Linked DNA regions of Macaca mulatta. The protein of the gene in region 1 purifies or fractionates together with the protein of each later gene. This does not show direct contact. Links are inferred from orthologs where the notes say so. Each region holds a gene or a part of one and is shown on either strand. Other genes may lie near its edges.

Region 1 (9,041 bases):
AAGATAATAGATTTTAAGTGTCCTCATCCCCAAAATGATGAGTATGTTAGGTAACATTAACTAGCTGGATTTAGCCACTCCACAATGTACACATATTTCAAAACATGTTGCTCATGATAAATACGTACAATTTTTAATTTCCCTTATGTACCTCTTCATCTGGCTGTTCATTTTTTATCTTTTATACTATCTTTTATAATAAACTGGCAATAGTAAGTAAAGTGTTTTTCTGAAAAACAACAAACTGGAAACAACTGCTTAGCAACAAGAAACTGCCTGACCAAGTAGAAGGATGTGGTAGTTCTGTATGTACTGATATGGAATATAGTCCGAGATAAATTGTTTAGGAAAATGAAATGCAAGTTGCAAAAGAACCCACAGTATGATGTCATTTATGTTGGAAAAAAGGCCACAATGATGTGTGAGTGTGCGCACTGAATAAAAGAAAGTTCTGGAAAGAAACTAACGGCCAGCGGTGTCACAAGGAGGATGGGCAGTTTATTTATATGTGTGTGTGCGCGCAAAGTTCCGTATTGTAAGAATTTGCTACAGCCTGTGTTATTAGCTTTGTAATGAAACAGGTAGAAACTGAAAAAGTTTAATTCCTCCCAATTCAGTTTAGGTTCTGTCTCCGGAAAACTTTCCTGGATTCCCCAGCCCCCACTCCCCGCCCCATCCCACCACCCCCACTGCCCTCTCTGAGTCTCAATTTTCTTTTCTGTAAGGATTTTCATCATTTAATCTTATTTCTTCTGAATGCACTAAATGGTAGTTATCCTAGCACTTAAGAGGATGTCGGAAACACGGTTCATTGTCTGACCCTTCCGACACTGACTAGTATGAGTACATTCTGGGGGGAATTTAGGAGTCAGGGGAAGAGGTGTTCCAAAAAGACACTACTAGAGGGTGCACCTGTCCAGGAGGAGACTCCTTAAGTGAGCAAAGAGCGTCCGACGTTTTTCTCGAGAGGAGCCGAAGTTTTCCGGAAAGAGACGACCAACTGGGAGGTGATCTCCCAAAACCGGTTGCGGGAATCACCGAAGATTTCCGGAGAGCCAAGGAGTAGGGAAGAGCCACTTACCGAGAGTTGCCGAACGTGTACGGAGATAGCCGAAGAGGTGAAAGGCGGGGCCACAGGAACCCTTCCTGCAGGGAACCCAAGGCTTCAGAGAGCCGAAAGGTTGGGAGGCGTAACCACTCACAGGCCGGAAGTGTCCGGGGCGGAAGCGTTCGGGTAACCGAAGAAGTACCAGGATTTCCGAAGCGAGCCGAAGCATCGCGACAGTTTTCAGAGAGAGCGGGTCGGTCGGAGCTGTACCGCCGAGCACAGTCATGGCGGCGGCCAGACCTGCTGCCCCGGACGATGGCGAGGAGCCCGCGCCAGAGGCTGAGGCTCTGGCCGCGGCCCGGGAGCGAAGCAGCCGCTTCTTGAGAGGCCTGGAGCTGGTGAAGCAGGGCGCCGAGGCGCGCGTGTTCCGCGGCCGCTTCCAGGGCCGCGCGGCTGTGATAAAGCACCGCTTCCCCAAGGGCTACCGGCACCCGGCGCTGGAGGCGCGGCTTGGCCGGCGGCGGACGGTGCAGGAAGCGCGGGCTCTCCTCCGCTGCCGCCGCGCGGGTAAGGAGGGCCCGGATCCTGGCGTGGGCGGCCCCGAGGCTCTGGGGCCTGGGCGGGTGAGGGACTCTCCTGCGCTCCGAGCCTCGGTTTGCCTCAGTTTCTCCTTCTGTGCCTTCTGCCGTGGCCAGCCTTTCGGAAATGTTATTCTTTCATCCCTTTCTTCATTCGTTAAGTCTTAAGAAACCACGTGGCCTTGCAGCGTCAAGCGTTTGTCCTGGGGCCGTTCTGCCAGGTTCAAATCTGGACGCTGTCATTATTGGTCAACGTCGAACATCTTTAACTTCCCTGAGCCTTGATTTCCCCATTTGACTCGTTTCAATTTTCGATCATTATCTTTTCATTTATTAGTTTTAAGAAACATGTAATTACAAGTACTTGCCCCACTGGAGCCAGGCTGTCTGGGTTGAAATACTAACTCTGCTGCTTATGTAGCCTTTCAACAAGTTATTTAGCCTCTCACCTTCGGTTTTTTCACCTGTAAAATGGGAGACATAGTAGCAATATCCATGTCATAGGGATGTTGTGACCATTAGAGGAGGTCTGTGTGCAGTGTATTATGTTCGAATGTGTGCCTGGCACATAGTGCTCAGTAAGTGTTGGATTTCATTAAATTGCCTATTTATTGTGCGCCAGCGCCATAAACCTTGTCCTCAGTTGAGAAAGTGACACTCAGAGAGAAGTAACTTGCCCAAGGTTACACGGCTACTAAGTGGCCGGTCCAGGCCCTCAGCTCCGTATGCCTCTGACTCAGAAGTACTGGCTTTTTAATTTTACGCTTCGTGCCTTTCTTTTATTAGTATTTTTTAGGTACTTGTGGGTGCCAGGACATTGTTAAGTGCTGGGAGATCTAGCAAGGGGGGACATTCAGTAGCCAACAAGCAGACACATTGCTGCCCTTTCAGAGACTGAAGATTTCACGAACTTATTTGTGTGTTCATATTTCTGTTTTCAGCCTCTTATGATATGTTTCGTTAAGCAGAGATTGTATTATAGCTGGCTTGTTTATTGCTGTATCCCCATTGATACATCTCTCAGTTTCTAGAAAAGTATACTGAGCCTGGTTGACTTTCAGTAAAAATTCATTTGAGTTTATTGTAGCAGAAACTGAGACTTAGAGAAGTTAATGTAATTTTTTTTTTTTTTTTTGAGACGGAGTCTCGCTCTGTCCCCCAGGCTGTAGTGCAGTGGCCAATCTCGGCTCACTGCAAGCTCCACCTCCAGGGTTCACGCCATTCTCCTGCCTCAGCCTCCAGAATAGCTGGAACTATAGGCGCCTGCCACCACGCCTGGCTAATATTTTGTATTTTTGGTAGAGACGGGGTTTCACCATGTTAGCCAGCATGGTCTCGATCTCCTGACCTCGTGATCCACCTGCCTTGGCCGAGAAGTTAATGTAATTTTAAGATTAGATTAGACAACTAATAAGAAAAGGAGCTGGGATTTGAACCCTGTCCTCTCTGACTGTGAAGATGAACCTCGAAGCCAGCACACTGCTTGGCCTCCTGTTTGTGTCCTCATCAGTAGAAACTGCTCTGACTGGGCTGTGCCTTGCTGTTTGTTTTTGTATTTTGAGACAGTGTCTCACTTTGTCACCCAGGCTGGAGTGCTGCAGTGGCGCAATCTCGGCTTACTGCAACCTCTACCCCCTGAGTTTGAGCTATTCTCCTGCCTCAGCCTCCCGAGTAGCTGGGACTACGGGTGCATACCACCACGCTCTGCTAATTTTTGTATTTTTAGTAGAGATGGGGTTTCACCCTGTTGGCCAGGCTGGTCTCGAACTTCTGACCTCTAGTGATCCGCCTGCCTCGGCCTCCCAAAGTGCTGGGATTACAGGCATGAGCCACCACACCCGGCCTTTGTTTTGTTTGTTTTTTAGAGAGTGAGTGTGACAAATGAAGTTCAGTGAGAAAGGGTGGTTTGGAAGGGAGGAGGAAGCTATGGCCTCCTCAGTTTAGCTGTGGGGTGGTCCCAGGTATAGTCCTGCAGGGGGCAGGAGCAGGGGAATATTCCATTCAGTTGTACCATTCCCTGTAGCATTCCTAAATCATCCTGAAATAAGTAGATATAGATGGAAAAACTGGCTTAATCTTTGAAAATTAAGTTTATCCATTAAAAAAAAATCCAACCCAATAACCACTTATGTCTTGATTTCAGGAATATCTGCCCCAGTTGTCTTTTTTGTGGACTATGCTTCCAACTGCTTATATATGGAAGAAATTGAAGGCTCAGTGACTGTTCGAGATTATATTCAGTCTACTATGGAGACTGAAAAAACTCCCCAAAGTCTCTCCAACTTAGCCAAGACAATTGGGCAGGTTTTGGCTCGAATGCACGATGAAGACCTCATTCATGGTGATCTCACCACCTCCAACATGCTCCTGAAACCCCCCCTGGAACAGCTGAACATTGTCCTCATAGACTTTGGGCTGAGCTTCATTTCGGCACTTCCAGAGGATAAGGGAGTAGACCTCTATGTCCTGGAGAAGGCCTTCCTCAGTACCCATCCCAACACTGAAACTGTATTTGAAGCCTTTTTGAAGAGCTACTCCACCTCCTCCAAAAAGGCCAGGCCAGTGCTAAAAAAATTAGATGAAGTGCGCCTGAGAGGAAGAAAGAGGACCATGGTTGGGTAGGAAAATGTGTATGACAGCCACACACAGTGAAGCTCTTTTTTCAAAGTAAATTTGAAGAAATACTAAAAGTATGAGATGAGATCTAAGTAAAGGTGTTAAGATATTTTTAAGTGGTGTGTGATCGTGCCTGTGGTGTCATTATCATCTGCACTTCACTCTACTCAAGAGCTTACTATGTGTCTGAGTCATGTTCTAGGCAGAACTGGGTATTTAAATCTAGGACAGGCTTCTCCCAGATTGTGACATGTATGTCTCAGTTATATGGGTGTGGCATTGAACTACATAATGAGAATGTTACTCTCTTTTTAGTCCTTGTGAGACAAGGATGAAGTCTCAGTGATACTCACTGAGCTTACTGGCCCTCTAACCCAGTGTTTTTTTTGTTGTGTACATGATATATTTATTTTGAAACCAGTTTAATGGGATACAACCAGCATTTTTAAAAATGAAATAGAATTGCAGCATAGAAAATATCAATATTGTTTTATGAAACTTTCACATGTATATGTAGACAAGGATATGTACTGAGTTTTGATGTCAAATATATTTCTCTTTCAGGGTCATGATCAAAAAATGAAAAATCTGCTTAACTCCAATTTCTCTTTTAAAAAAGCAGACTTACAGCTTTCAGGCAACTGAAATTCATGTTAACATTGTTTTTATTTTTATTGTTTTGTATTTTTGTGGTTACCTTCTAAGACAAGTGATTGATATAAAGTTCCTTTTAAGTTTATACAGGTAAGCAAACTGAGTTGATTTCTGTCACAGGCAATGAGTAGGTAGAGCAAAAATGATGAAGTGACTTGTGAAGACTGAAGTTTGATGAAGTCTGGTTTAAGGTACAGATAAGCTGAGTGTGGATGCAAAGGTACCAGGAGCTAGCTTTTAACCTTGCCCAGCCTCAATTTCTTTTCTTAGAAGAAGCTGTGTGTGGGTGGGAAGGGAACGGATGTATAATAAAATACCTTTCTTCCTTGTAAACTCCAATCAACAAACATATTTTGAGTACCTTTTATGTTCCTTGGCACCCTGTTGGGTGTTGGGTACAATGGTGAGCCAGACAGACATAGCGCCTGTTCTTTTGTAAGAAAATTTATTTTTATAAAAAATTATTAAGTAGTGTGATGTTTTGATACACATTATGAAATGATGACTACAGCCGAGCTAATTAACACCCATCACCTCACATAGTTACTTTCTTGTTTCTTAATATAGACATTTACAGCTATGAATTTCTCTCTGCACACTTTTCATCACACACTCTCAGTTTTGGTATTTTGTGTTTTTGTTTTCATTAATCTCGAAGTATTTTCTAATTTCCCTTGTGATTTCTTTTTTGACCACTTGATTGTTTAGAAATCTGTTAATTTCCACACATTTGTGAATGTTCCAGTTTTTCTTTTGTTACTCATTCCTAGCTTCATTCCGTTGTGTTGAGAGATGATACAGTCAGTGCCTGTTCTTATGAAGCAAACATTCTGTAATAGTAGGACCAGTACCCTGTTTGTTTCGTTCATCACAGTCAGCACTCCCCCAGTGTCCAGCATGGGGTGGATGGCCAGGAATGGTGAAAACTCCCTTCCTGGGTAGTTGTGACTCGTAGAGAGGAAAAACAGTATCATTGCCTGTTTACTGCATGTCAGGCATTGGGCTGGGAATTTTTATATTGGATCTAAAATAACTCTTAAGTTAAGCGTTGTCCCCATTTTATAGATGGAGAAACTGGCACCAAAAGGTGGGAACTTGTCCTAGACGTCACAGGTAGCCAAAGGTACTTTTACTTGGCTCCAAATCTGTTCTTTCCACTGACAAAAGAGATATGGGATATGGTGCGTCTTCACAGTACTATAAGAAGTATTGGCATATAACATTATTTTCAAGGAACTCCAAGGACCACAGGAGCTGACAAGTTTTTCAATTAATATTCCCAACATGAATGAGATGCCTCATTCCTCAGTTTCCTCACATGTACTATAAGGCTAGTACCTACTTTGTGGGGTATGGTTGGCTTATGTGCATTAAATCAACAAAGCCCTAGTTGATATGGTTTGACTGTGTCCCCACCCAAATCTTATCTTGAATTGTTCCTGTAACCCCCACGTGACACGGGAGAGACCTAGTGGGAGGTAATTTAATCCTGGGGGCGGCTACCTCCATGCAGTTCTTGTGATAGTGAGTGAGTTCTCATGAGATCTGATGGTTTTATAAGGGGCTTTTCCCTCTTTTTGGCACTTCCTGCTGCCATGTGAAGAATGATGTGTTTGTTTCCCCATCCGCCATGATTGTAAGTTTCCCGAGGCATCCCCAGCCATGCTCAACTGTGAGTAATTAAACTTCTCCTTTATAAATTACCCGGTCTCGGGTATGTCTTTATTAGCAGCGTGAGTAATACACTAGTACTCACTATGTGCCAGGCACTAGAGATCTAATAGAGGGGAACATGAAGTTTACTTTCCTGGGGAACGTAAAATAAGGCAGTTTCAGACAGTGATGAGTGAAGAGGTGAAGGAAAACCAGAAACACGGGAGATGAAGGGAGTATATCCCAGGCAGGCTGTGGCGTGCGAAGTTGGTGAGGAAGGAACATCCCCGACAGCAAGGCCAGTGTGGCTGGCATCAGTGAGCAAGGAGGAGGAGCAGAACATGCGATGGGAGAGGCAGGGCCAGATCCTGCAGGGCCCTGTTACAAGGTTGGGTTTTGTTCTTAATGGGACTCAGGATTTTTAACAGGGTGACACCTGATTGTTTTGAAAGAGTTGCATTGGTTGCTGGCAGAAAACCATAGACGGCAAGAGTGGAAGCAAGAAACCTGGAAGTGAGAAGGCGACCAAAACCAGCTGGGCCAGTGAAAACAGTAGCCAGGGTGGAAGCCGTGGCGAGCATGCTCCAACTGCTTGGCACAGGACCTGGCAGCCACCGAGGCAGGGAACGCAGTGGAGAAGCAGCCTTGTCTGGGGGAACACCCGAGGTTCGTTGTCTCATGGTCATGGAGATCAAGGACATGGACCCACAAAGAGTGAGTTGAAGAGCAGAAATTTAATAGTTGAAAGAAATTAAACTATTACAAGAGGGGTCCTGGAAAAATGGGTTGCTGGATCTGCGGTGATCCAGCAGATCTGCAGGGGGTTTTATAGATGAGCTGGTGAGGAGGTACTGTCTAATCTACATAGGGTGTGCAAAACTGGTTGGACCCAGGTGTGCCACTGGCATAGGGTATGAATCTCTGGGCACCCCCACCCCAATCTTTTATTATGCAGGCGAGTTCTCTGCCTGAGCTGTGCCATGTTGCCCACTTCTTTATTACTGTACACGTGCTAAAAGGGAAGATGGAGCCTCTGTGTCGGACATGCGTGGCCCCCAAGTAGCCCTTTTCTATTGGCACAGCTGCCAGTATTCCCCTGTGCAAGCTTCCAGCTTCCTTATCTATGTTTGAAGCTGGATTTTTCAGGCTGCTCTTTGTTAGAAAAGAAATGATTTCTGGGACTGCTTTTTTGTTAGAAGGGAAATTCAGCTGATGACTCTTTTGCCCTCAATATCTGCCTAAATAATTTCTTTCTACCTCCAGTCTCAGTGCCAGTGATAATTGGGGTAGCCACAGCTGTCAGGAAGCAGTAATGATCTTTTCTAGTATCCAGAGGGAGAGTGGCAGATATTGGAGACTGGAGAAACGTCACAAATGCCCCCAGGAGGAGAATCGCCCATCTGCACACTTAGCCCGTGGCCCACAGTGGGAAATAAAGGGTTAACAAACGTTCCTAGGTAAACAGTGGATTCCTTCCCTAGTTCCGTGTCACAAAGGGCTAAGGAACCCTCTGCACTTTCAGATCCCTTGATGTCCACGGGGGAGCTGCAGGTGCTTTGCAGTGCTGAGCCAAAAGCACTAGCAGTTTTGTGTGAATCCCCACCTAAACCCAACCAGATGAGGATTATAATCTCCATTTTATGGTGGAGGAAACAGCAATAGGAAATATCATGTCCTAGGGTCACAGTAAGTGACAGCTGGGATTCAAACCCATGCTTTTAACAGCAGCAGCTGACTTTATTATAGAGTTGCATTCTTTGCATGCATTAACCCATTTTACAGAAAAAGCAAATGAGACAGAGAAATTAAGTCCTGCCCCATGCCACTTAGCGAATGGCAGCGCCAGGGAAATGTGATAGGACACTGAGATGCGACCAACACTTGACACAGGCCCACATTCCTGGAACACTGAAAAGTGCTTTTGTGGCCAGTCCATGGGGCCAAGAGAGGTAGTTCCAGAGTAGAGTTGCTTTAAAGCTGGGGGAGTGCTCCAAACAAGCTGTGTTCTTATTGTTGGATGAGCTGAACCGACCATGCCCACAACACGTGCTACCTTAGGGGTTGGGAACACCTACATTAGTGAAGACATGCAGGGCATAATCTCTGATTTAACTGCAAGAGTTCACCATGTTCCTGACCCTGGTTCCAATAAAACTTTATTTACAAATCAGTCAGCCTGTGGGCCATAGTTTGCCAATTTGATTTTTAAAACCATCCCATTAAGATATTTGTCTTGATTATTGAGTTTTTGGGTGCCCCCTTAAATTTGTGCCTCGCTTGCTTCACCCTAGTTCTAACCCAGTTGTCACTGACTGCCAGAACCCTGATGGAGGAGTCCATGTTCTTAAAAGGGCCCGCACCTGCTATGGTTTGAATGTGTTCCCCAAATCTCATGTGCTGGAAACTGCCCAACTTAGCAGTAGTGAAAGATGGGGCTTTTAAGAGGTGATTGGATCCTGAGGCCTCTGCCCTCATGAATGGATTAATCCACA
Region 2 (10,823 bases), on another chromosome or scaffold:
ATGTGAAACAGGGACTGTGTGAAGATTTTTAGGATTAAAAACTTTTCAAACAAAGTCTTTTTCTTTTGTATAGCAAAAGAATCATCAACCTGGGGCCTGTGCATCCCGGACCTCTGAGTCCAGAACCACAACCCATGGGTGTCAGGGTTATCTGTGGACATTGCAAGAATACCTTTCTGGTGAGGAAGAGGTATTGGGAAGGGGAGGGGAGAGGAGACTAGGAGTCATTTCGAGTATATTTCTTGGAGTAATGGTAATGACCCCTGAAAGTCTGTCCTATGGGAACATGTTCTGCATCCCCACCCCAAGGTTCTCATTGAGGGGGACCCTGCTTGTGCTATTATTTTCGTTTTCTTTCTCCATAGTGGACAGAGTTCACAGACCGCACCTTGGCACGTTGTCCTCACTGCAGGAAAGTGTAAGTGATTAGGGATTGAGCTGGTCATTGATGTATGGAGTAAAAACTCTATGGCTGTAGAAAGCATCCATTTCTATTTGCCTCCCCACAGGTCATCTATTGGGCGCAGATACCCACGTAAGAGATGTATCTGCTGCTTCTTGCTTGGCTTGCTTTTGGCAGTCACTGCCACTGGCCTTGCTGTGAGTACCCTTGCCCCAGTCTCTTTCATTCTGCAGCCTCATCTCCATAGGCTAAGATTTGGGAAATTGCTACCCTTAAAAAAAGTGGAAGAAACTTGGGGGAGTAGTTTGTTTTAAGATATGGATGAGCTAAAGTGTAAGGTGGCTGATCAAACAGACTTTATTACTACTAAGAGTGCAAAATAGCCATCCTTTGTCTGTAGGATGAGGATAGGACAGTGAAGTGCTTAATTTAAGAGTTGCTATTTGCAAACCTGGCTCAGTTGTCAGATATGAAGAAAAACTGAGATACAGTGTGGGATGGGATGAGTATGTTACTGCCTAAGGGAAGGGAGCTGAACAGCTCTGCCTTTAAGAAGGTCCCTGAGGGTGGCTATATGTGGATAAGAAACAAGGACTGAAGCATGAGTTATTACTGTTCTTAGGACTAATAGGAGGTAGTGGAGACCAACATTAACCCCATCTTTCTTTTCTTCTCCCTCCTTACCTTCATCAGTTTGGCACATGGAAGCATGCACGGCGATATGGAGGCATCTATGCAGCCTGGGCATTTGTCATCCTGTTGGCTGTGCTGTGTTTGGGCCGGGCCCTTTATTGGGCCTGTATGAAGGTCAGCCACCCTGTCCAGAACTTCTCCTGAGCCTGATGACCCACAGACTGTGCCTGGCCCCTCCCTGGTGGGGACAGTGACACTACGAAGGGAGCTGGGGTAGTTAAAGGCTCCCGGGGCTTCTATAAGGAAGCCAAGCAGCTGCCTTCCTTTTCCCTGGGGAGAGGTAGGAAGGAACCAGGCCCTCACTTAGGTTTGGAGGGGCAGATAAGAGCACTGCTGACCATCTGCTTTCCTCCAAGGGTTGCTGTGTCTAGGGTGAAGTAGGCAAAACGTTGCCCTTAAAACTGGGTCCTAAAGACGGTTCCAGCCTTGTCCTTCCTGTGTGCTCCCTGAGAGCCATTCCTGTCCCTTACACATTCCAGGGCAGGGTGGGGGTGGGTAGCCCTGGGGGTTCCCCTCCCTCTTGTGCACCATTAGGACTTTGCTGCTGCTATTGCACTTCACCAGAGGTTGGCTCTGGCCTCAGTACCCTCAGTCTCCTCTCCCCACATTGTTTCCTGTGGGGGTGGGGTCAGCCGCTGCTCTGTACAGAACCACAGGAACTGATGTGTATATAACTATTTAATGTGGGATATGTTCCCCTATTCCTGTATTTCCCTTAATTCCTCCTTCCAACCTTTTTTACCCCCCCCCCCCTCCCAGTTGCAGTATTTAACTGGGCTGGGTAGAGTTGCTCAGTCTTTGGGGGAGATTAGGGACTTATCCTGTGCTTGTAAATAAATAAGGTCATGACTCTACCCTTTTTCAGTTGTTAACTTGTATGCACGAAAATACGAGGAAGGGAATGTGTAGCCCCACGAAGGGGTAAGACACAAAGACAGCAAGGCTGAAACTATGGCTCTTTATTTTTGTGTGGATAATTCAAACAAAGTCATTAGTAGTCTTTGTTCAGTTTTTCTTAAAAAAGAAAAAACCCTCAAATAAAAACTCTTGGGCTTAAAAGAACTCTAAATCTGTCACAGGAGCCTGGTTGTAGGATTCTTATTTTTATAGATGAGAAATACAATGCAGATTTCTCTGAAGAGTGTTTAAAGAAGGAATGGTAGTTGAGGGGGCTTATTTCCCAGGCTCAAAGTGATTTAGGGGTGGTGTCACAGTGCTAGGTATAGGGTGATAGGACAGTGATCACTGCCGAGGGCCTTGGAACGGATCTTGCTATCACACAATGCAGGTAACAGAGAGTGGGACAACAAAAAGTAATCAAGGCGCCAACCAACATTCTTGGATCGAGCATTCATCATGTAAGTCCAAAAGGTGTAGGCATAGGGTGTGTTGGGGTAGAGGTGCCTAAAGCTGTCAGCCAGTGGCACAGCCTGCAGTAATTCCCCAAAGCCTTGGCGCTCTTGTGGCGTGAAGCCAGCATTCTTTTTGTTACCCTTGGGGTTGCGAAGGTCAATTTCTTCATGTGCCACATTGAGGTCTCCACACAGCACAAGGGGCTTTCGGGAAGCCAAGCCCTTCAGGAACTTGCGAAAGGCTTCATCCCAGCGCTGCCGGTACTCCAGTCGTACCAGACCCCGGCCTGCATTAGGTACATACGTTGTTACCAGCACAAACGAGTCAAATTCAGCCACAATCACCCGGCCTTCCTGATCATGCTCCTCCTCGCCTACAGAAACGAAACAGAATTAGCATAAAAAACTGTAAGAAAAGGAAAAGCAATCAAGAGGTGGGGGAGAGATGGAGAATTAGCAATTGGTCTTGAAGAGTTCAGGCATTAGGCATCAATAGGGTCTCACCTATGCCATAAGAAACTTTGAGTGGGCAATGGCGGGAAAGTAGGCCCACGCCACTGTATCCTTCCTTGTCCGAAGGAGCGGACCAGTATTGATGAGAGAGTCCAGGCAGCTCTTGAAGTTCAGCTGGTAGTTTGTTCTCTGAACATTTGGTCTCTTGAAGGCACAGTATATCTGGGGCTTCTTCCTTTACCCACTATAAGTAAAAGAAAGGTGGAAAATGTATTATCAATTCAGCAGAACATTTATTGAATATATGCCAAGTCATAAATATGCACAGGTTAAACAGTCAAGCAGTTCGAGGTTAAATAATATTTAAACAATTCGAAGCTAGATAAATGAAAACAGAGGTAAAGTCTTACGTGCTATACTATGAATGTGTTTTTTCTATAGGCAAGCTAAGATTTTTAAGCTATAATTAATGAAATGGAGGACATGCTGAAGATAAAATGGAGGAAGTATAGTAAAAGGTTTTTGCAACATTCTGGGAAGAGGAGAGAACATTAAAAAAGAAAATGGCAATGGAAGTGAAGGAGCAGACATTTAGGAAATACAACTGGCAAGACTGGGGAAGCCCCACCGAAAACTGCAGGCAGGAGAAAAAACAGCCTGAAGGCTATACGGAGAAAAGGGATGACTAAACCCTAAGATCATTCAATACTAAAGAATGTGTCTTCCCCTCAAACACCACTCACATCTAATCCTTTCTTCTTAATCCAGGCTCGAAGCCCATCCACGTTCCAAGAGCAGATCTTGAGTGTGGCAGGTTTGCCACTGGGTGAGGTTTTCTGATCGGGGGGGTCCTCATACAGGGCTGGGCCCTCTCCTGCTGCCTCCTTGTCATTTTTCTTTGCGGGCGTCTTACTCTTCTTGGGCTCTGGCTCTATAAAATGAGTAATATATATTGATAAAAAGTGGGTGGTTTCCAACCGCGATCCGGCGTTAGCTATGGACCCAACGAAAGCCTGCGGTTACTGCGTCTTCACAAACCCCTGCAAAAATGAGTTGGCCGGTACTTACCGTTCATCAAGGGAATTACAAACAACCCCGCCGTAGCTTCTAGGAAGAGGGGCTCATTTCATTCTTACCTGTCTTGAGCTCATCCCCGTCTTCTGCCACCGCTCCCTTTTTCCCACGCTTCGGCATTCCCGTAACGAACGCTCTTCGGCACCTGTACCGCGTCGCCCACCAAAGCAGTATTTTTACCGCGTTGCCTACAGACGCAAAGAAATCATGAAACCAGCTAAGCCTGGGGAGAAGACTCCTCTCAAGAGCGTCCCCGCACCAGGTCCCGCCTTTCAAACCATGTTATCTCTAAATCCTTTCCCCGCCTCCGTGCATCATAGGCCCTTCAGCCCCTCACCCACGTAACTAGATCATTTCATAGTGCCTTGTACCCTACTCGCGAGATCTGCCCTCCAGCCAATTGAGGATCTTAATTAAGGGTCCTGACTCAAGCTTGCCCTTCAGACTGCCAGCGAAGCCCCTCTTATGAGCAAAAGAGCAACCCCGTATCTGCACCGGTCCGATGGCAGCCTAGCTCCTCCTAACCCGAGCACAAAGAAGGATGCACGCTGAGCCCCCCACGTGGGTAGCGGACCTGGTCACGTGATCAGAGGCACGCGTCACATGGCCGAAGAATGCGCGTGATTGGTCTGTCTGACACCACGTGACGAAGTCGCTTGGCCTTGCCTCTCTCAACTAATTCTCTAGGAGACCTAGGGCCCCAACCCTCGTTCGGGCTGTTTATCGTTGTGCCCGACGCACGGCACATTGTTTGACTCTGACTTAAGAGTCTAACGCTGTGCAAAGGGAAAAAAAAGTGGAGAAGGTTGGGCTGGACCACGGGAAAGATATAGGAAAACGGATAGGATTGTAAAGCACAGAGTCGGCTCGGCGTCCCTGGCAGTTAGGAAGACAGGTCCTTGGAGGGGCCTTGGCGGGTCTCCGCTCGCGGGAGTTCTGCGCTGTCTTTCCCACTGTTATCTGCAGGCTAGCCCGCTTCTTCTGCGCTCCGGAAAGCTGCGGCCCAGCGCAGACTAGTGAGGACTTCCACAGCTCCTGACGTTGCTAGGAGTCCTGTCGGCGTTTTCTCCCAGGCTCCGCCATGCCGGCGGTGCTGGGTTTTGAAGGCAGCGCCAATAAGATTGGCGTGGGTGTGGTGCGGGATGGCAAGGTGCTGGCGAACCCGCGGCGGACTTATGTCACGCCTCCGGGCACAGGTGGGTGAGTAGGGGAGTTAAGAGTTTTCGGCGCACTTCCCCGCAGAAAATCAGCCTTCCATCTTCCTAAATACTAGTGAGGTGCAGCTTTTGATCTGAGTCTTATTGAAATTATGTGATATTATTAACGTCACAAGGCTGATGACTAGAAGAGTTACAAGCACTTGGACGTGGATCTGATGAGTTCGTTTACCGTTTATTGAGCTCATTTTATGTGCTAAGCATTCAGAAATAGATGTTATGATACTGCTGTGGAGTCAGACATATAAATAGATGTTTATACTACAGCATGATAAACAGTGTAATAGAGATGGACTCGAAATATTCTGTTTAAAAAACGCTTAGCAGGAGTATATATTCCAGTTGCCCTGAATATACACTCCTTTTTTAAAAATTTTTATTTTTTGAAATATTCTAGGATGAGTAGAGAGATGAGAGTGGAAAGACTCCCAGCTTACATGTCAGAGAACTGGCTGGCTGTGCTGTATTCACATTAAATATTTATGTTTTGGACATTTGGTCTTTATTTTTTATTTTAATTTGTTTTTGAGACAGTCTTGCTCTGTTGCCCAGGCTGGAATGCAATGGCACGGTTTCGGCTTACTGCAAGCTCTGCCTCCCAGATTCAAGAGATTCTTCTACCCCAGCCTCCCGAGTAGCTAGGACTACAGACAGGTGTGTGCTACCACACCCAGCTAATTTTTGTATTTTTAGTAGAGGCGGGGCTTCACCATGTTGGCCAAGCTGGTCTCGAACTCCTGACCTCACATGATCCGCCCACCCCAGCCTCCCAAAGTGTGAAAATTACAGGCATGAGCCACCGCCCGGGCCTAGTCTTTGTTTTTAAAATGGGAATAATACCTGTATCATTAGGTGTTGAAGATTAGATGAAAGTACCAAACACGTCTGGGTGTGGTGGCTCACGCCTGTAATCCCAGCACTTAGGGAGGCCCAGGCGGGGTGGATCACCTGAGGTCGGAGTTCAAGAACAGCCTGACCAATATGGAGAAACCCTGTCTCCACTAAAAAATATAAAAAATTAACCGGGCGTGGTGGCACATGCCTGTTAACCCAGCTACTCGGGAGGCTGAGGTTGTGGTGAGCCGAGATCATGCCATTGCACTCCAGCCTGGGCAACAAGAGTGAAACTCCGTCTCAAAAAAATAAAAAAGAAAAAAGAAAGTACAAAACACATTACAACTTTTAATAAGCCATTGTATCTTGCCTACTCTCCCCTCAAACACTTGCATACATAGGAGAGGGGCAACTGATTTCCATGTATCTGAAAAGCCTCCCTGAACAGGTGATGTGACAGATTACTCATTAGAAATAGGTATGTATGTTTAGCATTCACTCCTCTAGGCACTTGGGCACTGGGAATACAAAGATAAAATACTTATTGCTTTGAGATACTCATGATTAAGCTGAGCAAACCACAGAAAATTATTATGTTGTAATTGTTAAATAAATGACATCATCATGCACAGAGTTCTGTAGGGTCACAGAGAAAGAAGGTCACCAGGCTGGGCGCGATGGCTCAGGCCTGTAATCCCAGCACTTTGGAAGGCCAGGGCAGACGGATCACGAGGTCAGGAGTTTGAGACCAGCCTGGCCAATATGGTGAAACCCCGTCTCTACTAAAAATACAAAAATTAGCTGGGTGTGGTGGCGTCGCCTGTAGTCCCAGCTGTTTGGGAGGCTAAGGCAGAAGAATTGCTTGAACTCAGGAGGCGGAGGTTGCAGTGAGCCGAGATCGTGCCACTGCAGTCCAGCCTGGGCATCAGAACAAGACTCCGTCTCAAAAGAAAGAAAAAAAGGCGGGGCGCGGTGGCTCACACCTGTAATTCCAGCACTTTGGGAGGCCGAGGCGGGTGGATCATGAGGTCAGGAGATCGAGACCACAATGAAACCCTGTCTCTTCTGAAAGTACAAAAAATTAGCCGGGTGCAGTGGTGGGCACCTGTAGTCCCAGCTACTTGGGAGGCTGAGGCAGGAGAATGGCATGAACCCAGGAGGTGGAGCTTGCAGTGAGCCGAGATCGCACCAGGCCACTCTAGCCTGGGTGACAGAGCTAGACTCCGTCTCAAAAAAAAAAAAAAAAAAAAAAAAAAGATCACCAAAGGGTATGGGTAGATACCACTTGCATTGAGACATGAAGGCTGAGTAGGGTAAGAGGAAGAGAATTTCTGAAAGTTGAACAGCCTATATAGAAGCTGGAAAGAGTGTATCCGAAAATGTGGAAGATAGGATGCTTGGGGAAAGTGAAAGGACTCTTACTACATCACTAAACCTCCTGTTGCTTTCTTTAACTTCCTACCTACTTTTGCTACCAAAAATCCCTGTGATCTCTGACCTGTGTTCATTTTCTAGGATTCCTTCCAGGTGATACAGCCAGGCATCACCGAGCTGTTATCCTAGACCTGCTGCAGGAGGCACTAACAGAGTCTGGATTAACCTCCCAGGATATCGATTGCATTGCATACACCAAGGGTATGGCTGGGAGAGTGGTCAACGATGGAGGAATATACCTGCAACCTGGCTAGGTCAAAATAGCCAACACCTTACCTCTGCCACCACCACTACCCCTACCCCACCTCACATCCCTTGCTTCCCCCACCTATTTTTTTTCCAATCTCTAGCATTGTAACTTCCATTTCTATCTCCCTAGGCCCTGGCATGGGTGCCCCACTGGTTTCTGTGGCTGTTGTGGCCCGTACTGTGGCCCAACTGTGGAATAAGCCATTGGTGGGTGTGAACCACTGTATAGGCCACATCGAGATGGGCCGCCTCATCACTGGAGCCACCAGCCCAACCGTGTTGTATGTCAGTGGAGGAAATACACAGGTATTTAGAGTGCTCTACCCATTCCATCTCAATTTCCGAGGCACTGAACCAATATCTTCTTCGTTCTATCTGAGTCATGGGAATGTCAGGAACAAAGCTGAACTCATCTGAACCTAAAATACTGTAGACCAGAAAACTCCCAACCGAGTTTGTAACATTGCAAATTTTGGCAGCATGTTCAGAACATTAGATGACTTATCATTATCAGACTTTATATCTGATCATAAAGATTAGGAATTTCTACTTCAGGAAAGGAATGAATGGTAAGGATTGAAGCCTTCAAAATAATGAATATCTGAAAGATCTTGCATTATTTTGAAGCTTATTTTTTCTGTAAATCTTAGCAACTGAAACTAACGGTTACTGGGCATGGCAACTCACACCTGTAATTCCAGCACTTTGGGAGGTCAAGGTGGGTGGATCATCTGAGGTCAGGAGTTTGAGACCAGCCTGGCCAACATGGCAAAACCCCATTTCTACTAGAAATAACAAAAATTAATTTGGCGTGGTAGCAGGTGCCTGTAATCCCAGCAAGTTGGGAGGCTGGGCAGGAGAATTGCTTGAACCAGGAAGTGGAGGTTGCGGTGAGCCGAGATCACACCATTGCACTCCAGCCTGGGCAATGAGAGCAAAACTCTGTCTCAAAAAAAAAAAAAAAATAAGGAACTAAGGGACGCTACCTGATTTATTATTTTAGGGCAACTACATGTTTTGTTTTTGTATTACTGGGGATGATTATATAGACTTTGTTGTTCTAAAAGTTCAGAAATATAAATAACTATAAAAATACTTTATAAATTATAGAAGGTATTTTATTTTATCTTATTTATTTATTTGCAACGGAGTTTTGCTCTTATTGTACAGGTTGAAGTGCAATGGTGCGACTTTGGCTCACTGCAACCTCTGCCTCACAGGTTCAAACTATTCTGCCTCAGCCTCCCGAGTAGCTGGGATTACAGGCACCTGCCACCACACATGACTGATTTTTTGTGTTTTTAGTAGAAACGGGGTTTCACCCTGTTGGTCAGGCTGGTTTTGAACTCCTGACCTCAGGTAATCCACCTGCCTCGGCCTCCCTAAATGCTGGGATTACAGGCGTGGGCCACTGTGCCCAGCCAGAAGATATTTTAAATTTATAAGTGAAGCTAAAGTTGTTTGGGATACCTTATATGACCTTTTGAAGGTTGGGATTGGATTCCTTTCCAACAGAACACTTAATTATCATTAGAAATGGTTCAGCATTGTCCCCAGCCCATGAAAGGGTTGTGTCTAGAAGATGAGGCACGTGTTTCCCATGAAAACGATGCGGAAACTTCAGCAGGTAGAGGGCAAGTAGTTGGTTGAGGCCTGAAGGATGACATACAAGGTTAGAGACTTGGGTTGTGGAAAGTATAATGGAGACTACAAGAGGTGATAAAAAGGAGCAATGGCGGCTTTGTCTTCCTCTTTTAATGTTTGCTTAGGTGTAAGAAACAGGGAGGGTAATTAGGTGGAGAGGAGTGGATAGCAGGAGCAGAAAGGCAGGGTTTTTCCTTCTTCTTTGTTACTATCTTTTTGACAGCAGATTAAGATGTGTATCAGAAAGGGAAGAAATCCCTGACAGCACTGGGAAGGGAAAGGGACTTCTTAAGGTTCCTAGGAAACCCTTGGTGTTCTAAGTCTGCAGCATATGTGTCAGTAGGTGACAGATAATCTCTGTGCTAAAAGTTGGTCACATATGAAGAATGGCCTTAATATGTAAAATAGTTGGGCGTGGTAGTGGGCGCCTGTAGTCCCAGCTACTCGGGAGGCTGAGGCAGGAGAATGGCACGAACCCGGGAGGCAGAGGTTGCAGTGAGCTGAGATCACGCCATTGCACTCCAGCCTGGGCAACAGAGCGAGACTCCGTCTCAAAAAAAAGAAAAATGGTCTTAAGTGGACTGCTATTGCTGACTTGGCTGGGCCATTAATCTGCCTCCATATGAGATTTTTGAGTTCTTCAACTCTGCTTCTTGGTTCTAAATACCAGTGCCCAGCTGGATACAATGATTCACACCTATAATCCCAGCACTTTGAGAGGCCGAGGCAGGTAGATTGCTTGAGACCAGGGGTTTGAGACCAGGCTGGGCAATATAGTGAGACCCGATCTCTACAAAAATATAAAAATTAGCCACACATGGTAGGCCAGCTACTCAGGAAGCTGAGGTGGGAGGATCCTTTGAGCCTAGGAGGTCGAGTCTACAGTGAGCTATGATCACACCACTCCACTCCAGCCTGGGAGACAGAGCGAGACCCTGTCTCAGAACAACAAATACCTGTCAGAACAACAAAAACACTGTCACTATGTCATAATTTAGAAGGATTCATGTTCTCTGCCTCCCAGCAGAAAAGCCTGTTCCCTACTGTCAAGACTGCATTTAAGGAATATATTAGGAACTTCTAAGCTGGAAAACAAATGTATTTGAAATGATAATTTATTTCTGCTTGGACCTAGACTGTCTTGTAGATTAGGACTCTATTCCTGGAATCCTCAGGGTATGCAGATGTCTTTTCAAATCAGAGCTGTAAAAACATTACCCATTCACCATTTGGGAAACACCTTTCTTCCACTTCTTATTGGAAGCTCTGGTGGTCATGTTGATCCTCTGCTATGTTTTTCTCCCAAAGCCAAATAATCCTGTTTACAGACTTGGGGTTTCATGGACATCCTCATCACCCTTAGGTGATTGCATACTCGGAACATCGTTACCGTATCTTTGGGGAAACCATCGATATTGCAGTGGGTAATTGTCTGGATCGTTTTGCTCGAGTGCTGAAGGTAAGCCAATG
Region 3 (11,150 bases), on another chromosome or scaffold:
CACTCTAGCTTTCTTTATAATATTGAAAAATTAGATAATGCCATTCTGCTGTAGAAGAACAATTCGGTTGACTAACTTATGGCATATGAAGTTATAGGATACTCTGCAGCAGTTAGAATGGGGTAAGTGTGTTTGCTGACATGAAAGAATGTCTATGATATACTGGTGAGAAAAACCAGCTGCAGAAGTGAGTGTACAGAATTTTCACTTCGGTTAATGGAAAGGAAATTACACATTGAAACACACATTCACTCAAAACACTTTAATGTGCACAGAAAAAGACCTAAAAATACACACACCAAAAGTGTTAACAGTGGTTAGGCTTGGGAGGTAAGAGGTGCAGGAGTGAGGAAGAACTCGTTTTGAATTTTGCATATATTTCTCATTGACTTTCTTTTTTTTTTTTTTTTTTTCTTTTTTTTTTTTGAGACGGAGTCTCACGCTGTTGCCCAGGCTGGAGTGCAGTGGCGCGATCTCGGCTCACTGCAAGCTCCGCCTCCCGGGTTCCCGCCATTCTCCTGCCTCAGCCTCCCGAGTAGCTGGGACTACAGGCGCCCGCCACCGCACCCGGCTAATTTTTTGTATTTTTAGTAGAGACGGGGTTTCACTGTGGTCTCGATCCCCTGACCTTGTGATCCGCCCGCCTCGGCCTCCCAAAGTGCTGGGATTACAGGCTTGAGCCACGGCGCCCGGCCGACATTTTTAAGAGGATGCTGTTTGTATACCCCATTTCTTTCCGTAGAGAGACAGAAGAAATTGAAGGTCATTTCTTAGAAAGTGTTAGGGGGCAGGGGGAGGCAGTCAGGGAAGGAGAGGAAGGGAAGAAGCTCTGGCTTTGGGAAAGTCCTCTCCAATATTTCATTCTTTTTTTTTTTTTTTTCTTTTTTTTGAGACGGAGTCTCGCTCTGTAGCCCAGGCTGGAGTGCAGTGGCCGGATCTCAGCTCACTGCAAGCTCCGACTCCCGGGTTTACACCATTCTCCTGCCTCAGCCTCCCGAGTAGCTGGGACTACAGGCGCCCGCCACCTTGCCCGGCTAGTTTTTGTATTTTTTTAGTAGAGACGGGGTTTCACTGTGTTAGCCAGGATGGTCTGGATCTCTTGACCTCATGATCCGCCCGTCTCAGCCTCCCAAAGTGCAATATTTCATTCTTATGATGTAAAAATGGAAAGAACGGTTGAGATGTGTACCAATTATAGATCCGACCCAGATTCATAAGAAAAGATAAATCTAGAACCCTTTCACCATCCCGCACTGCCTCCCGAAGAGCCAGAGGCTCAGATATGACAAGCAGTTGAGGAATCAAGGCTAGAGGGGACACACTCCCAGGTTTAACTTCCAATTCTCTTACCTCGTCTTCAGGATCAGGATAAGGTCTCTTGCAAATGCAGTACAATCCAAAAAAGTTGTCATTGTACTTATTGCCAGAATTTACCTTTGCTTTGTCCTGAAATATAATATTGATTTCAATAATAATATGGTCTAATTTTAACTATAATTTCACACATTATAAAATTAATACATTCAATACATTTCCACATTATTTCCCCCAAGAGGCTGATCTTTAACTTTCAAAGTAGGAAAAAAAAACCTCACTACTACTAAAGGGATACTTTTTTCAGGATACAGGGAAAAAATAAAATTTTGTGTTTGTTTTTGTTTTTTTTGGTGGTAATTAGGAGAAATTAAATACACCTATTCAGTAAAGTGGAGATAAAAGTTAATCATAAATATTAATTATCAATCTATGTGAACTGACATTGGCCTGGAATTTCAAGGTACTTCTTTTTCCTTTTTGATAGAGATGGGGTCTCACTACGATGCCCAGGCTGGTCTGGGTTCAAGCCATTCTCCCACGTAGGCCTCCCAAAGTGTTGGGATTACACGTGTGAGTCACCACGCCCGGCCTTATTTATTGGTTTTTCTTTTTCTTTTCTTTTTTTTTTTTTTTTGAGATGGAGTCTCGCTCTGTCTCCCAGGCTGGAGTGCGGTGGCACAATCTTGGGTAACAGAAACCTCCGCCTCCTGGGTTCAAGCGATTCTCATGCTTCAGCCTCCCGAGTAGCTAGGATTACAGGCACACACCACCATGCCCAGATAATTTTTTGTATTTTTAGTGGCGGGAGCATTTCACCATGATGGTCAAGCTGGTTTCGAACTCCTAACCTCAAGTGATCTGCCCCCCTCGGCCTCCCAAAATGCTAGGATTACAGGTGTGAGCCACTGTGCCAGTCTATTTATTGTTTTCGTTTTGAGATGGAGTCTTGCTCTGTTGCCAGGCTGGAGTGCAGTGGTGCAATCTCAGCTCACTGCAACCTCTACCTCCTGGGTTCAAGCAATTCTCCTGCCTCAGCCTCCCAAGTAGCTGACCGAGTAGGTGACTGGGTGCCACCATGCCCAGCTAATTTTTGTATTTTTAGTAGAGACAGGGTTTCACCGTGTTGGCCAGGATGGTCTCGATCTCCTGACCCTGTTTATTGTTTTTAAGTCATATCCTTTGCTTTAAAAGCCTCAGAGAATAAGTACAACCAATATAATTAAACCTGAATTACTTTCAAGTACATCTCTTCCCCAAACCTTTCATATTAATTACCATCTATCTTGTAGGCTCTCAACAGTTTATATAGTTTTTCCAACAAAGTAAAAAATGAAATGGCCATCTGCAAAGAATAAGCATAAGAACTTCTTTTTTGGAAAATACAGGTATTTGTTTTTTACCCCCTCTGGCAAATATTAACCCCAGCTGCTCTAACTGCATTTATAGTTACAGTGTTTACTTACAGGAAGTAATTTGCATTCCAAAGTTTTAAACTTGCTGTTTCCACAATCACAACGAAAATTTCTGAAAAAAGGAGGAAATAACAATTTTATTTTTCTTTTTACAAAATCCAATTTAAAATTTCTTCAAGCATTCAAGCACATAAGACTTCACAATTCTGGAAATTAATATGTACAGAAGCAAATATTTATATCACATACACACAAACACACACAAGTAAAATGATGGTAGAGAAAGATGAGTAGTTTGAGTTTGTACCATATTATGTTTTTAAAGGCTCTGGAAACTCCAATTATATAAAATAATTACATGAAATTTCACTACTGTACAACAGCTTTGCATGAAAAAACATGATAAGGAAAAAGTGTAGATGGGACAGAATCTACACTTCAAAAGCATTTAGTAACAATCTCTGACTATGTTTACCTTTTTGTGTATAGCTCAAATAGTTTGTGACTTCCATGACATTCATAACTGCAAGCTAAACAAATTCCTGCTGGTTCTTCTCCCTCTGGGGTGCAGGTACTACAGGCATATAGTGCTTGCCTCTTTACTGAGCCCTAAAAGCCCCCAAAATGGAAAAGAGAATTAATGTAATAGCATGGCTTACCTAATACCCACACTAGGAACTGAAAAATAATTAAAATCAGATTATCTGTGGTCAAGATCTTTCTGTAAAAACCATTAAGACTAAAAAGTTTACACAGCAGAGCATCAACCAAAACACAGTTGTGTTGCATGTTTCATTTTTATACTAGTGCTTTTCATGCAAGCACTTTTTTCTTTCTTCCTAATTTATTTATTTTTTGCAGAGACGAGGTCTTGCTATGTTGCCCAGGCTTGTCTCAAACTCCTGGGCTCAAGCAGTTCTCTGCCTTGGCCTTCCAAAGTTCTGGGATTACAAGCATTAGCCATGACACAAGTTAGCACTCCTTTCTTAAAGTGATAGGATGTCTGAATTTGTCAGTCGGCTGTGAATAAATGAATCTGTTTAATCATTTTAACAGGTGAAAACACAGGAGCATATGTATAGGTTTATGTAAGTAATATCACACTTTCATCCTGGAAAATGTTTGTAAATCCACCAAAGAGAGAATCAACACATGCAAAGAATCTCTTTGATTTTTAGGAGATGCATGCTGAAGTATTTAGAGGTATAGTGTCATCATGTCTGCAACTTATTTTTAAATAGTTCAAAATTTTAAAACAACAAATTTTAAGTAGAAAAGGAGATGTGACAAAATGTTAAAAAGTGAATATGTAGGCTGGGTGCAGTGCTCACGCCTGTAATCCCAGCCCTTTGGGAGGCCAAGGTGGGCAGATCACCTCAGGTCACGAGTTCAAGACCAGCCTGGTCAGCGTGGTGAAACCCCATCTCTAAAAAACCCCATCTACTAAAAATATAAAAATTAGCTGGCCGTGGTGGCGGGCATCTGTAATCCCAGCTACTCGGGAGGCTGAGACAGGAGAATCGCTTGAACCCGGGAGGTGGAGGTTGCGGTGAGCCAAGATCATGACATTGCACTCCAGCCTGGGTGGCAAGAGTGAAATTCCATCTCAAAAAAAAAAAAAAAAGTGAATATGTACAATAGGTATAGTTACCTTCCTCTAGGAAGGAGGAAGAATAGACAAGGAGGCTTCCGGGATGCCAGTAAAATTCTATTTCTTTCTTTTCTCTTTTTTTTAAAGTTCTTTTCCAATAAGCCTTTTGCACTCCTAATGTTCTATTTGTTGATCTGGGTGGTGGGAACATGCACACTTTCCTTTCAAGCTGTGTACATGATTTGTGCAAATTTCCATATTTTTTTTTTACCACAATAAAAAGAAAACATTAAGGGAATCCATTTTATAAAGGTAACTACACTTCAAAAATAGTTTACATACAGACTTAGAACTTTTTTTTTTTTTTTAAGGAAAGCAGGCGAAAAATTGTTTTAGTGGTGACCAAAGGTTTTAAAATACCTGGGGCTATGTCTGGATACCAGGTTTATTCAACAATCTAGCACTTTGCAGTGTAAACTAAACTTGGTCAACAACGAGAACTGGTATTATGACCTCAGTTCATACCACATAATGAATGCAAGTCTCTCCCCTCATCTCCCCAGTGTTCCAATCCACCCCTCTGCCTCGGTAACCCTTCTTCCTGCCAGTTCTTATCCTTTGTCAGTCTTCTTCCTACCCATCCTTTTCCATTTTTGTGCCTCGAAGTATAGGGTGAGTCACTAAACACATCACACCCCCTCAAACACTTGCTCACTCACAACGTCTTCCAAATGCCAAATAGATCCTTTTCTCCTCTCTCCCCTCCCTTGCCAGAGCCACTTGCTGTTCTGTTTCCGGTCTATTTCCAGGGGAGGAGGGCAGACTGCAGACAGACATGGGTACTTGCTCCATTTTGCCAAAAAAAGAAAGAAAAAGTACTAGCTAGCACTTGTCAAACTAAATTGCAGAGGAACTAGCTGTCAAGGAGCTCACCGCAAATCCCTATGGATTTGAAAATCTCTTTAACCTGACGTCTCCCATTTGGTCCCTAATAAATAAATAAATAATCTTAGGATGGGAAAAGCAGGGACAAAGATGTCTGGATCTGAGAGGTCGCGGGCTGGTTTCGTGAAAAGCAGTGGTGCACCAGGACGAGGCTGGAGAGGACGGACAGAGCAGCTGCTCCAGGGTCCTTCCTGGCTGGCCGGACAGAGTTAGAGAGAGGGGAGATGGGGGCCCCTGCTGGACACAGGCTGAAGGGGGCCCAGGAGGTTGGGGATAAAAGGGAAGGGTGGGCTTGGGGTAAGGAAGCGGCAGACTAACGGCGGCCCCGGACCACCACTGGGGAGACGACTGCGGCAGGCGGGAATAGGGACAGCCGGGCCGGGAAGGGGAGGTTCGGCGGGAGCCGCGGGAGACAAGGCCCGGGCCGCGTGCCCACCTGCGAGTAGGAGCACTTCTCGGAGTCGCTGCCGCCCAGGACAGCACACGCCTCATTCTCCAGCTCCTCGTCCTCCTCGAGGACGTCGACCAACGATACCACGGGCTCCAGCTCCGACTGCCGCCCAGCGGAGCCCTCGGCTCCGGCCATCCTCAACTGTCACCCGAACCGCGGCTCGGCCCCGGCGGAGGCGGGAAAAGCGGCCACGAGGGGCGTAGCCGGAGGAGGCGGGGCCCGAGTGCCAGGAACCAATGACAAGGAAAAAAAGCGAAGGAAGGGGGAGGAGCGACTTCCGACAAACGGATGTCACTCCTCTCCCTTCTGCCGCCTGCGCCGGCCACGGGCTGATTTCCGCCTCCGGGTGGCGCTTCCCGGTGTCGTGTTCTGGAAGCTTAGTGGTCACCATGGAGCTGCTGGGAGAGTATGTCGGGCAGGAAGGGAAGCCGCAGAAGCTGCGGGTGTCCTGTGAGGCGCCGGGTGACGGCGACCCTTTCCAGGGCCTATTGTCTGGCGTGGCCCAGATGAAGGAGCTGGTAACGGAATTATTCGGCCCCCTGGTACAGGCGGAAGTGCAGCACCGGGTGGCGGCGGCTCCAGACGAGGCCCTGGACGGTGAGCTCTGAGACGGTGCTGCAGCGACAGGAGGACGGGGCGGGAGCCAGGGGAAATTGGCTTGGGGAGCCCGTGTAGAGTGGCAGACTTGGACAAAGTGAGCCTCGAGGAAAGAAGAATTGCATCTAAAAATTTTTGGCGGGCCAGGCGAAGTGGGGCTCACTCCTGTAATCCCAACACTTTGGGAGGGCGAGGCAGGAGGATCACTTGAGGTCAGGAGTTCCAGAACAGCCAGGGCAACATATCGAGACCCCGTTTCCATTGTTATTTCAAAGATAATTTAAAAAATAAAAATTGTTGGCATTTATCACTATATTTGGGCTGCTTCTACTCAAACATTTCCACGACTCATCGCTATTTCATTTATTTCACTAAAAAACTTGCCGAATGCCTACTACTATTTGCCAAACCCTGAGCTGAGCCCTGGAGGAAGAATGAGGTCAATGCGACTCAGTTCCTGCCCTTGTGAAACACAAGGGGATTATACAGGCAGACACTCTTATTAAAAGTGAAAGTGGCCAGGCTGGTAGCTCACGCCTGTAATCCCAGCACTTTGGGAGGCTGAGGCGAGCGGATCACGAGGTCAGGAGTTCGAGACCAGCCTGGCCAATATGGTGAAACCCTGTCTCTACTAAAAATACAAAAATTAGCTGGGAGTGGTGGCGGGCACCTGTAATCCCAGCTACTGGGGAGGCTGAGGCAGAAGAATCGCTTGACCCCGGGAGGCGGAAGTTGCAGTGAGCCGAGATCGCGCCACTGCACTCCAGCCTGGACTACAGAGCGAGACTCCGTCTCAAAAAAAAAAAAAAAAAAAAAAAAAAAAGAACGTGGTTCTATGGCCCTCTGTAAGTGTTGCAAACCCAGAGACCCTCGGAAGGCTTCAAAGAGGATAAGACTTTTGAGCTGGAGTATTGAATAAAAAGGAGTTTTATCAGGTGTGAAACTACAGACATATTTGGAAGAGTACAATCTATCGCAGAGTAGGAACAGGTTCCAAGGAGTGGGACAGACTTAATTTTAACATGTATTAACTCCTAGAGACTCCCTTACCTTTCCAGTTTTGTAGGTGCAGTTTGAAAGTAGAAACGTGAAGTTTAACTGCATTATTTTTTAAAAATTGCCTCGAATGCAGAAATAGGCAGGTACTTTTTTTTTTTTTTGAAATGGAGTCTAGCTCTGTTGCCCAGGCTGGAGTGCAGTGGCACAATCTCGGCTCACTGCAACCTCTGCTTCCCGGGTTCAAGTGATTCTCCTGTCTCAGCCTCCCAAGTAGCTGAGATTACAGGCGCCCGCCACCACTCCCAGCTAGTTTTTGTATTTTCAGTAGAGACGGGGTTTCACTGTGTTGGCTGGGCTGGTCTCGAACTCCTAACCTCGTGATCCACCTGCCTTGGCCTCCCAAAGTGCTGGAATTACAAGCCTGAGCTGCTGCACCTGGCCAGGCAGGTACATTTTAACTGTCCTGAGCTGAAAAATCCAAGAATAGATATTAGAGTTAGGATTTACAATTCTCTAAGAAGAGCTTAAACTGTACTTTCCTTCCATCTTGGGAATTACATCTTGATAATATGGATGTTGGCTATGATCAAAAAGAACAATAACAAGTGTTGGCTGGAATGTGGAGAAATTGGAGATCTTGTACATTGTTGGTGGAAATGTAAAACAGTGTAACCACTGGGAAAAAGAGTTTGGTAGCTCCTCAAAAAGTTGACATGAAGTTACCACATGACCCAGCAGTTCCACTGGTAGTCCTCGCAAGAGAACTGGAAAGTATGTTCACACAAAAACTTACACATGAATGTTCATAGCAGCAGCATTTATAGTGACTAAAATGTGGAAACAACAATTGACCGGGCTTGGTGTTGCACCTTTAGGAGGTGGGAGGATCACATGAACCCGAGTTTGAAGCTGCAGTGGGCTGATTGTTCCACTGCACTCCAGCCTGGAGGACAGAGTGAGGCCCCATCGCTTCATCTCTAAAAATAATGATAATTTTAAAAAATAGAAATAATGCAAATATCCATCAACTGATGAGTGCATTAACAAAATGTGGTGTATCCATACAATGGAATATTATTAGCAATAAAAGGTAATGAAGTATTAATACGTGCTACAACATGAATGAACCTTGAAAACATTATGCTACAGTGAGAGCCAGACACAGAAGGGTACATGTTATATGATTTTGTTTATATGAATGTACAGAATAGGCAAATCCATAGAGAGAGATTAGTGAGCTGGGTGCAGTGGTGGGCACCTGTAGTCCCAGCTACTCTAGAGGCTGACACAGGAGGATCACTTGAACCTGGGAGTTTGAGTCTAGCCTGGGCAACATAGCAAGACCCTCTCACTAATAAAAATTAAGGGGGAACAAAAGTAGATTAGTGGTTGCCGAAGGCTGAGGGGAATGGAAAGTGACTGCTAATGGGCATAATTCATTTCTCTTTGGAGTGATGAAAGTGTTCTAGGATTAGAGAGTGGTGATGGTTGCACAATCTAGTGAATATACTAAAAACCACTAAGCGGTACACTTTTAAAAGTGGATTTTGGCCGGCTACAGTGGTTCATGCCTGTAATCCCAGCAGTTTGGGAGGCCAAGGCATGCAGATCACGAGGTCGGGAGATCGAGACCATCTTGGCCAACATGGTGAAACCCTGTCTCTACTAAAATACAAAAAATTAGCCGGGCATGGTAGCGCGTGCCTGTAATCCCAGCTACTTGGGAGGCTGAGACAGGAATCACTTGAACCCTGGAGGCAGAGGTTGCAGTAAGCTGAGATCGCGCCACTACACTCCAGCCTGGTAACAGAGAAAGACTCCATCTCAAAAAAAAAAAAGAGACTGGATTTTATGATGAATGAGTTAATATTTCCAAAGAGGAAAGTGATAGAAAATAAAGATTTTAAACACTGAAATTCTCAAAATCATTTTAATCTAAAATGTGCATGGTTTTATTAATCCCTAAAGTGAAATGGTCTCGTTATCAACCACTTTAGCTATATATATTTCTTTCAACCATAGAACGTATTGTCATACAACAAATATTTATTTTAAAAGGTGATGATGAAGATGATGCCGAAGATGAAAATAACATTGATAACAGAACTAACTTCGATGGACCATCTGCAAAACGGCCAAAACCACCATCTTAACAATAGCCTTTATGACATTTAAAAGATGGCTGTTGTATCCCAGTTGTCACACTAGGACATTTAAGGAAGACTTATGCTGTAATTTGGAAAAGCATTTGTGTTGTTTTCCTGGGACAATCTTGTCAAAGAGAAAACTGGTTTTTCTGTTTCTAGCAAAGACAGTGAAGGCTTAGAAATAAAACCTGTTTTCTTGAGAAATAAATTTCAGACCGTGGGAGGAAAATAGAACACTTCATAATATATAAAATCCTCTTAAGTTGGCAACTGAATTTTTATCATTGTTTTCTATTTTTAAAATAACCATTGGTTTGTGTGATGTCTACATCTTTTAACTTCTGCTTCTGTTATAAACAGTACGTCATGGTTCATAGGCAGTAACATTTCAGAGAACTGACATGAACAAGTGGTGAAAAGTGGGCATTAAATGTAAAAATAACAGTTCTTCATAAATAGAAGGAAAATGAGGAAATAGAAATACTGAAGAGAGAGTCCTTGAAAGAGACCCAAGGAAACCCTGAATTCATACCCATGTCAAAGATACAGATATCCTGAGATGATGCCGCTTGATGAATGTGCATTAATCTGATTTATCATGTACCTTAAGAGAGCCAGATGGGGTAGGGTATGCTTTTGTGCTGTGATATAGTATGTATACAGGTACAAATGGAAGGCCTTAAGTAAATAATCTGCGTTGATTACAATTTGGATATTTCCTCTCCTCCTGTAGCCATGCTTTGATTTAGCTTTAAAAAGATTATTGAATCCTTTAAAAATATATATTCCTAAAGTATGTATGTGTGTGTTTCTTTTCTGCTTGTCAGTGGGACTAAGGCATGTTTATTCACTATGCATCCTTCCTGATGTAGATAGCTTCAATGCAAAGAAATCAAGTAGCATGTACCTAGTAAAATACAAATAGTCATGGGATTTTAGAGTTGGAAGTAACTTTACAAACTATGTGATTTATTTCACAGATAAATCTCAGGATAAGTATTTGCCCTCAGATTACAGAGTACTGGGTTACATAAATAGCCTTTAGGTTTTCTTTAAGCTGATAAAAGGTGAGAGAAATCATTAATCAACTTTTTTTTTCTTTTTTTTTTTTTTGAGACAGAGTTTCACTCTTGTTGCCCAGGCTGGAGTGTATTGGTGCGATCTTGCTCACTGCAACCTCTGCCTCCCGGGTTCAAGCAATTCTTCTGCCTCAGCCTCCCAAGTAGCTGAAATTACAGGCATGTGCATTTTAGACAGGGTTTCACTCTGTCACTAAGGCTGCAGTGCAGTGGCACGATCTTGGCTCACTGTCACTGCAACCTCCGCATCCCAGGCTCAGGTGATCCTCCCACCTCAACCTCTCAAATAGCTGGGACCACAGGCATGCACCAGCACATCCAGCTAATTTTTTTGTATTCTTTGTAGAGATGGTTTCACCACATTGCCCAGGCTGGTCTAGAGCTCCTGGACTCAAGGGATCTGCCCACCTCAGCTTCCCAAAGTGCTGGGATTACAGGCATGAGCCCACCATGCCTGGCCTAATCAACTTTTTTTTTTTTTTTTTTTTTTTAAAGACTAAGTCTGGCTCTGTCGCCCAGGCTGGAGTGCAGTGGCCGGATCTCAGCTCACTGCAAGCTCCGCCTCCCGGGTTTACGCCATTCTCCTGCCTCAGCCTCCCGAGTAGCTGGGAC

The links.
Region 2: the proteins of TP53RK (region 1) and OSGEP purify together in Homo sapiens (affinity purification with mass spectrometry; 5 studies listed by BioGRID and IntAct, counting the BioPlex papers as one, with this or other methods). This does not show direct contact. The link is inferred for Macaca mulatta from reciprocal best matches to the Homo sapiens genes TP53RK and OSGEP.
Region 3: the proteins of TP53RK (region 1) and GON7 purify together in Homo sapiens (affinity purification with mass spectrometry; 5 studies listed by BioGRID and IntAct, counting the BioPlex papers as one, with this or other methods). This does not show direct contact. The link is inferred for Macaca mulatta from reciprocal best matches to the Homo sapiens genes TP53RK and GON7.

The regions. Positions count from the first base shown.
Region 1 is NC_133415.1:99,486,436-99,495,476, reverse strand, and holds TP53RK (EKC/KEOPS complex subunit TP53RK), read left to right. Parts: upstream 1-1,270; 5' UTR 1,271-1,332; coding exon 1,333-1,615; intron 1,616-3,769; coding exon 3,770-4,248; 3' UTR 4,249-6,599; downstream 6,600-9,041.
Region 2 is NC_133412.1:93,249,844-93,260,666, reverse strand, and holds the start of OSGEP (tRNA N6-adenosine threonylcarbamoyltransferase), read left to right. Parts: upstream 1-4,646; 5' UTR 4,647-5,056; coding exon 5,057-5,171; intron 5,172-7,541; coding exon 7,542-7,661; intron 7,662-7,839; coding exon 7,840-8,015; intron 8,016-10,716; coding exon 10,717-10,812; intron 10,813-10,823. Other genes in the region: PIP4P1 (type 1 phosphatidylinositol 4,5-bisphosphate 4-phosphatase), read left to right, coding at 74-179, 366-418, 510-600, 1,097-1,240; APEX1 (DNA-(apurinic or apyrimidinic site) endonuclease), read right to left, coding at 2,305-2,822, 2,953-3,145, 3,645-3,832, 4,038-4,095. UniProt on the Homo sapiens protein: Component of the EKC/KEOPS complex that is required for the formation of a threonylcarbamoyl group on adenosine at position 37 (t(6)A37) in tRNAs that read codons beginning with adenine.
Region 3 is NC_133412.1:166,456,594-166,467,743, reverse strand, and holds GON7 (EKC/KEOPS complex subunit GON7), read left to right. Parts: upstream 1-6,085; 5' UTR 6,086-6,105; coding exon 6,106-6,313; intron 6,314-9,370; coding exon 9,371-9,465; 3' UTR 9,466-10,253; downstream 10,254-11,150. Other genes in the region: putative E3 ubiquitin-protein ligase UBR7, read right to left, coding at 1,351-1,446, 2,781-2,841, 3,205-3,338, 5,702-5,851. UniProt on the Homo sapiens protein: Component of the EKC/KEOPS complex that is required for the formation of a threonylcarbamoyl group on adenosine at position 37 (t(6)A37) in tRNAs that read codons beginning with adenine.